Linked DNA regions of Bombyx mori. The protein of the gene in region 2 interacts with the protein of the main gene of each other region in a pairwise test. Links are inferred from orthologs where the notes say so. Each region holds a gene or a part of one and is shown on either strand. Other genes may lie near its edges. The genes, in order: liprin-alpha-1 and kinesin-like protein unc-104.

Region 1 (3,931 bases), on a different chromosome or scaffold from region 2:
GATGACAAGATCATTTCAAACAATTCCCCAGAGCACTCGACCCATACACGCCAGGCGCCAGAGCGATTCTGTCCTTAATGCACATTGCATGTTTCAACCAAGACCGTTGATAAGCTTAATTTCGTATGAGAACGTCCTTACTGATAACAGTTTTATCATCCGCTGCGCGAAATTAGCAACACACACCAGTACATAACATTTTTGTTTAACGAAAACTAGGGTGTGGTAAACTGAATATTCTAAGATTGTTAATTTAATCATTTTTGTTGCAAATCACAGGGCTGCGTCTGTGATCTGTCAAGTGAAGATCTAATTAAAGCATACATATAAATGTCTTTTAGCTCAAATTGGTAAAGACACGACAATTAAGATGTTTGTTAAATCCAAAAAAAACTACTAATGCCAATAAGGACCGATACTTCTGGAGTAGGACAATTAGATGATTCCAATTAAACATGCGGAAAATACATTCATTCTAGTATACCACTCTAGTCTTCCCTTTTCTTGACAAGTACAATAAGTAAAAAAAAATACAAGTGTAATTTATAAGTGTGTGTACAAGCCCACACAGCTCTGCTTGAGTGACTTTGCTAACATCTGCTGAATCTACCATCAGATTTTCTTTAAGCAAAAGGGGTTTTAAGTAGAAAATAACATAGGGCAATTAATATAATATGGTGATTGATAATTTTCAAAGTTGGAAAATGTCAGTGTTACAGGTATAATTTGATGGTTTCTGTAAGGACAGCCCACTAGATAAGTTTTCACCCAAGACTTAAGGTACTGTGAATACTCACTTTAAAAATAAGATCCTAATTGCATAATATGATGACTTCCAACTGATAAGTGTGAAAGTACTATACAACTCAAGGTCACAATGTGTGTTAAGATAATTTAATATAAAGCTAAATCATGGATATTTATCTTTTAATTCTAAGATATCATTAATGTTCTTGTAAAGTAACATATCAGATCATAATGTTCCAGTGGATGAGCAACGATTATAACTTCATCCTTGACCTAGTGGTTCTGTTTCACTTTGATTTGCTTAATGTAGAAAAGTTTTATCAAAACTATGTTTAATTGTACACAAAGAAGGATGTTTAATTTTTTTATATCTTAACTAATAGAACCTGATTACACCCTGCCGTGACTGCATTGTGAAGAAGATCAACTTCTAGTAACATGCCACATACATTAATTCAATGGAACCATAACAGGAACCGTTCCTGGAATATAAAAAATTACACTTTCCCACCTATTTTGGGCATAAAGCTTTCTTGCATTATGAATGGTTTGAAGAGCGAAATAGCTTATCAATTCACTCTGTCTTGTTTATGGGGAATAAAATGATTTTTTTGTTTAGTTTTTTACATCTATTTCATACTCTTATAGTGTATTAGATGTTCCCTACAATACCATTCAAGTACCATTTTTGCAAAACAGTGAAACATGTTTTCTAAGTATCAGTAATAAAGTACTGATTTGTTGTTCTGATTTTATATGAAATAGCAAATAAAAAAAAAACTTTCCGATTTTTATTTATTTATTAAGATTTCTAATTCACTAAATATAGTAAGTAATTAAGTTGATTTGATACTCAAATTGTTATTGAACAAAAATGTTTTAAAGAAAACAACAAAATTAAATTTGACATTTTCCATCCTGTTTTAGTTTTTTTTTTCTGGTAGATAAGTTATTCAGTGTTAATTTTAATTAGAATAAATAACTAAAACCTGTTTGAAATATATTTCAAAAATTATAATTAGATACTAACTTTCTTAACTTACTTATAATCTCTTGATGATTTTAAATATTGGAAAATGGAGTTGTACAATGTTTAGGTGAAGGGCTATTTGAACTGAGCCTTTTTAAGATAGGTTCTTTGCTATTTTATTAAAACAAGATATAAATTTTGGAGCTGAAACTCATATTGACATTCTAAAGTTAGGAAGGAGACACTAACCTGTGGTAGGTTGGCGGCGATCTGTCTATGAAGGGCATCTCTCTCCTTTTCCACTTCCTTGAGGCGCAGTTCCGAGTCACCGAGCCGCTCCTGAGTCTCTCGCAAACTCTCAACCAACTTATCGCGTTCGTCTAACATAGACACCATCAGTTGCTCAAAGTTCGCATCCTCCCCGGAGACCTGCGAACTCCGCTGGCTGATACTGTCCTCCGATATCGTAGGCATCACGTCGCACATCATATTCCACATTTTAATTTAACATTAAACCAGAAGACCTATGGTACACGACACACAGAAAACACGATTTCGATCAGTTTTAGTGCATATGTTCCGGCACAAACGTTACCTAAATCTAGCGCACGTAACGCGGGGAAGCGGTTTCACATACTCGGAATATTCGTATAAAATATTAATCAAAAGTTCGGGAGACATTCTAGTTCGATATTTAAATAGACACACCTAAATATCGTATTCTTACGATTCTGTTCTATCATGGAACAAGCGGCATGTCGGCCATCTTGGAATGGAACGTCAATCCGTCAAATTCAGATGAAGGAGTTTTTTATTTGACTTTTCCGATTAGATCGGCAAAGGGAATAAAACTTATACACTCAACAGCTTTGTAGTAAAAAGACGCTAGTCTCGGTTTCAAAAGTATAGTTTAACTAAGTATAAAAAGCTTCAATTATTTTGAAATTCATTAAAAAGACTAAAAATCTATGAATCAAAATTAACTCAATTAATTAATTAAAAAAACTTCAAAATTTCAAAATTAGAAGAACTTTGCGTCGAGTTCCTTCTTTGAAATAACACGGCTTTGCTTTTCGTGGGGTTCAATTCTATGCGCCATTTGCGGAACCACTGATCTAAGGTTTTGGTGCGGCTTAGAATTGTTTCGTGTAATATGAAATGCGAACACATAGCCCTTTACGCGAAAAGTAGCAAAATCTTGACGAAATCCTTCCATCTATGTTCAACTTAATCTAAATGGGACGGTATGGAGACCAAGTAGGGTATCCCGGGACACCACTGGGACCGCCTGGGTCCTGGGGGGGCCTGACAGGGTGGCGTACCGAGATGGCCTACGTAGATTATTCGACCATCGCCTTGACCATCCATCGATCGAGCTTCCTCGAGTTGGCCCTGCCATTCTGGTTATAATGTTGAACGCAGGAACCCTATAATCTTTCCGGGCTCTGAACGCTGGGCAGAGAACGAACATCGAGTGAGAAAATGCAAGGGGAATTATTTGATGAGTAGAGCTCTAAAATATCCTCGGGCCCGCGGTATACTTCCAACGTCTGCACACCATCAAGTCCCACATAGCCTGCCTGGCTCCATAAGCATCTGCATTCACTGAAAGATGCACAAGTCCACGAGCCAAATGATATTAGTTCAGACCGTCCTTGATTTATTAGACTTACTAGTCTAATATCAAGTTAAAAAATACAAATAAAAAAAATACATATGACAATTTCTATACTAGTAGGTATTGTCCTTGTAGACAGACGAGCATACTGCCCACCTGATGGTGAGTGGTTACCGTCACCAATGGACTTCAGCAATGCCAGGGGCAGAGCCAAGCCGCTGCCTACCATTAAATAAATTAAATAGGTACGTTAAGTAAGTTAAATAGGTATGAAAAAAACTAAATATCATGGAAACGGCTAATAACAATTTATCCACATAAAACTACTTTTTAAAATTGCCTTGAATACTTAATTTCCAGGTTGGAATAATACAACAATAAGTAAATTTTAGTCGGTACTCTAAATGATTTAAGATGAATTATTTAATATTACGCAGTAATTAGTACTAGTTTAATAGATTAGAGGTCAGTAAATTCATACTCTGAGACCTGAGATCAAACTGAGATTGATCATAGAATCAGCCGATAAATTTATGATCTAATAAATTATTTTAATCAATATTCAATATATATAATATGATAATAAAATAGGTACA
Region 2 (3,831 bases):
CGCTCCTTGCTCACCACACTACAATATATACGTAGGATGTACTTAACTTTTATATCTTTAGTTGTGTCAAGAAATAATTTAATGTGAAAAATTCATACTATATTATATTTTTTTTATTATCTATAAATTAATACGTGAAGCAAAAACTTTGTACACCTTTTTTACGAAAATTGTGCGGACGGAGGAGCATGAAATTTCACACACTTATAGAGAATATAGAGAAGTGCACAATGCTATTTTTTTTTATTATGCCTACAAAATATATTACATCAATAAAAAAACACATTACATTCCATGTATTTTACACACGCATACGCATATATACTCTTTTGTTTATTGTTAAAGTCTGTAGTCAAATTGAGTATAGATTAATATTGTTTGTTTGCCTTTAATATTATTTGACGAAATCTGTGATTATAGAAGTATCATGATTATAGAATATGTAGAAATTATAAGAAGCATGTTTTTGACAATATAACTATGAATGTAGTAATAATAGCAGTAGTGACTAGTAGTAAGTAGTAGTAACCAGAAGTAACAAGTAGTAATAATACTGTATCGGATGGTGTTATACCTGAAGGTGTTGGGCATGCGCACCATCTGCTCCTGGTCCTCGGAGTACTCGACGTGCGCGTTGGCGAGGTTGATGACGGCGCGCTCGATGGGGTCGCGCTCGTCGCGGTATATGAACACGTACGGCCTCCGGACCACCTGGACATCGCGAGCTCCGATCAGACCCACTCGTCTGGTGGCTGTACCGTCCGCATCCCCAGGACACGGACGGTACAGTGGATCGATCAAGCGCAAGCGCACTCAAGCACCCCAACCATTTCGGAATTTGAACAGAAAAGTGAGATCACACGGTACCATCTAAGCATTGCGTTTACAAATACAATTTCATCACCAGGTATATAAATACTTAACCCCATACCTTGTGAATATTCCACAGTGCAGGAATAGCATTGTGCAATACAATCAAACCTCCAAAAATTATAATTAGTGTAACTAGTGATAGTGATGGTAGAGCGAGTTGTGAGCCCGCACGGGTAGGTACCACCACCCTTCCTGTTTCTGCCGTGAAGCAGTAGTGCGTTTGGGTTTGTGCATAGGGTGGGCTTTGTAAACACTAAGACTTAGAGCTCATATTTAAGGTGAGGTCGGCATTGAAATGGTTGATGTCTATGGATGCCGGTTACCACTGCGCTTTGAGATTAAAGTGCATATCACAAACTGCGGGACTTTTTGGCGGGAACGCGAGGAGTGAAGTTGTGTGATTTGTTTTAATTTGTCTACTTAGTGTTTCTTCAGGTTTAAATGTGTAATAACGGTGAATTATTAACTGTTTAGTATCTGTGCAAGTGCACAAATGTGGGAAAATGAAACAAAGCCGCTGGACGTAACTTCTCGGGATCCTCCAAAAAGTCCACTGAAAAAATCTCAATAAATGACCACCATTTTACTAAGATTACATTTCATCCTATATCATCTCATCCCATCTGGTTTCATTTAATTTCATCTCAGTTGATTAATGTCTCATCTCATTTCAGTTCACACCATATTATCATTTTTCATAAAAATGAGAATATGAATTAAAATAAGGCATGACCTAAAGGTCTTAGTTACCAGGTCATAAAATTATAAAAAAAACTGTCGTACCAGCCAGCGTTTCTTCCAGCCGTGCGTGCCGTGCTGCAGCACGTTGAGGTGTCCGCGGCGCGCCACGGCGGCGGACACGCGCACCTCCTCGCAGTCGGGCACGTACAGCGCGCCGCCCGCCGCCCCCCACCCGCACGCCGCCTTCTCCAGCATCGCGCGCTCCGGGGAGCACAGCCTGCACAGTTACCGTTACCGTTACGTCATCACTGCGAGAGCCTGTACTTTGCAGACTAATTAGTGTGCACAGTGCGAGTTTTTTAACGTTCTCGATAGCGTTAAACTCAGATTTGTATGCAGCTACTACCCTAGCGGCAAACGTAGGCAAACTTTTGGGAGGATCTCGAGAAGCTATATCCAGAGGCTTTGTTTTATTTTCCCACATTTGTGCACTTTGACAGATACGAAATAGTTATTAAACCACCGTTATTACACATTTAAACCTGAAGAAACACTAAATAGACAAAATAAAATAAATGACACAATTTCGCTCCTCGCGTTCCCGCCAAAAAGTCTTCTTTCGAACTACGATTACCAAACGTTTTTTTTTTCTATTTTCCTATGCATCGGGGAAAGTTTCATTCTGCCAACTCTACCAACTTATTTAATTTGCTTTTTTTACAGCACTCACTCAAAGCTGCTAGCGCTGTGTATGGACGACAGGAGACTCGGAGTGGAGATGTCAGCGGAAACGCCCTCGTCCACGGGCGTGGCGGGAGACACTGCGGTCTCTACTTCCTTGCCCGTCGAACCTATTCTTCCTGAAATTATTACATTTGATTTTATTTTAAATTGGGAAACCAGTGGCTTCGACCCCTTCATGCCTTGATGACCACTTATGAATCGTAAGCTTGTCTACCTTCAGCAATAATGAGCTTTTAATCCGAATCAATTTTCTATTAAATAGGACGTCATCTTATCGGCAAACCGCCATTTTGAATTCTATATGCTATCATGCAACACAAGATATTTGACAGATGCCTGAATCTCGTTTACAACACATTCAAAGCTTGCATTTATACAAGTTCCGAACAACAACATTCGGACTGTCGGTCTACTGAGCAATTACACCCGTTCGGTGGAAGATTTTCCCTCTGTCGCTATACCTCCACACCACAGATTCAATAAATAATAGTTTAAAAATACTAAAAAAATACGCTCTTATAGAAAATTCAACTAAAAAATAGAAAACAAATTTTAATTAATTTCAATTAAATATAGTGTAAGTAAAATTTATTTTCAATTTTTTTAGTTGGATTTTCTATAAAAGCATATTTTTTTTTAAACTATTATTTATTTTTCATTTTTTAGTTGAATTTCAATTTTTACAATTTTTTATTATTTAAATATTGAATTGTCATCGGTCCTTAATAAGTATGCCAAACTTCGAGTTAATCCGACGTTTTGAAGGGCGTCAAAATCATGTTCAAAGATTTCGTTACATACTAACATACATACGTCTGAAGCTAATAAAAATCGAACGCGCACTCACCTTGCATGAGCTTAATGAATTTGGTGGCGAGCTCTCGTTCCTTGGGCGACATGTCCCAGGGCTCGTACACGGGCTCGTCGCGCCCGCCCTCGGCCGCCGCCTTCGCCGCCATGTTGCACACCTCCTGCGGCCAACGCACAACACTTGTTCAATGTTTTATCGACACAATTTGTGTTCATCGCCATCGCGTGTGTTCCGAGTAATAAGTAACTATACAGTGTATTCTCAAGAACACAAAGTACATTTATTTTGTCTATTTAATGTTTCTTCAGGTTTAAATGTAAACAATTGAGGGAAAATGAAACAAAGCCACTGAACGTAACTTCTCGGGATCCTCCAAAAAGTCCACTGAAAAAATCTCAGTAAAAGACCACCATTTTACTGAGATTATATTTCTATGTAATCATTCTGATTTTTTAGTAAATTTAATTCGTTTTTAATCATTTATATTATGTCGCGATTAGTTTCATTCGTTTATTATTATTCATAAAATTGTAAATAATTAAAACGGCGAATTATAAAAATCTTATTACTTGACGCTGGCTAATGCACAAACCGTGCCGGAGACAAAAACTAAAGAAGACGAAGAAATAGATTATTATTATTATTATTATTAGCGACTTTTTGGCGGGAACACGAGGAGTGAAGTTGTGTGATTTGTTTTATTTTGTCAATTTAGTGTTTCT

Evidence for each region.
Region 1: the proteins of kinesin-like protein unc-104 (region 2) and liprin-alpha-1 interact in binary tests that used the Caenorhabditis elegans proteins (3 or more experiments, as listed by UniProt). The link is inferred for Bombyx mori from reciprocal best matches to the Caenorhabditis elegans genes unc-104 and syd-2.

The regions. Positions count from the first base shown.
Region 1 is NC_085129.1:15,096,300-15,100,230, reverse strand, and holds the start of liprin-alpha-1, read right to left. Parts: upstream 2,504-3,931; 5' UTR 2,216-2,503; coding exon 1,967-2,215; intron 1-1,966. UniProt on the Caenorhabditis elegans protein: May play a role in regulating the structure of the neuronal region, called the active zone, from which synaptic vesicles send neurotransmitter signals across the synapse. This may be in association with the liprin-beta protein hlb-1.
Region 2 is NC_085109.1:3,714,341-3,718,171, forward strand, and holds part of kinesin-like protein unc-104, read right to left. Parts: intron 3,270-3,831; coding exon 3,146-3,269; intron 2,415-3,145; coding exon 2,285-2,414; intron 1,832-2,284; coding exon 1,657-1,831; intron 712-1,656; coding exon 575-711; intron 19-574; coding exon 1-18. UniProt on the Caenorhabditis elegans protein: Motor protein involved in microtubule-associated anterograde transport. Regulates the transport of synaptic vesicle precursors in the axon of DA motor neurons. Regulates the polarized sorting of axonal proteins.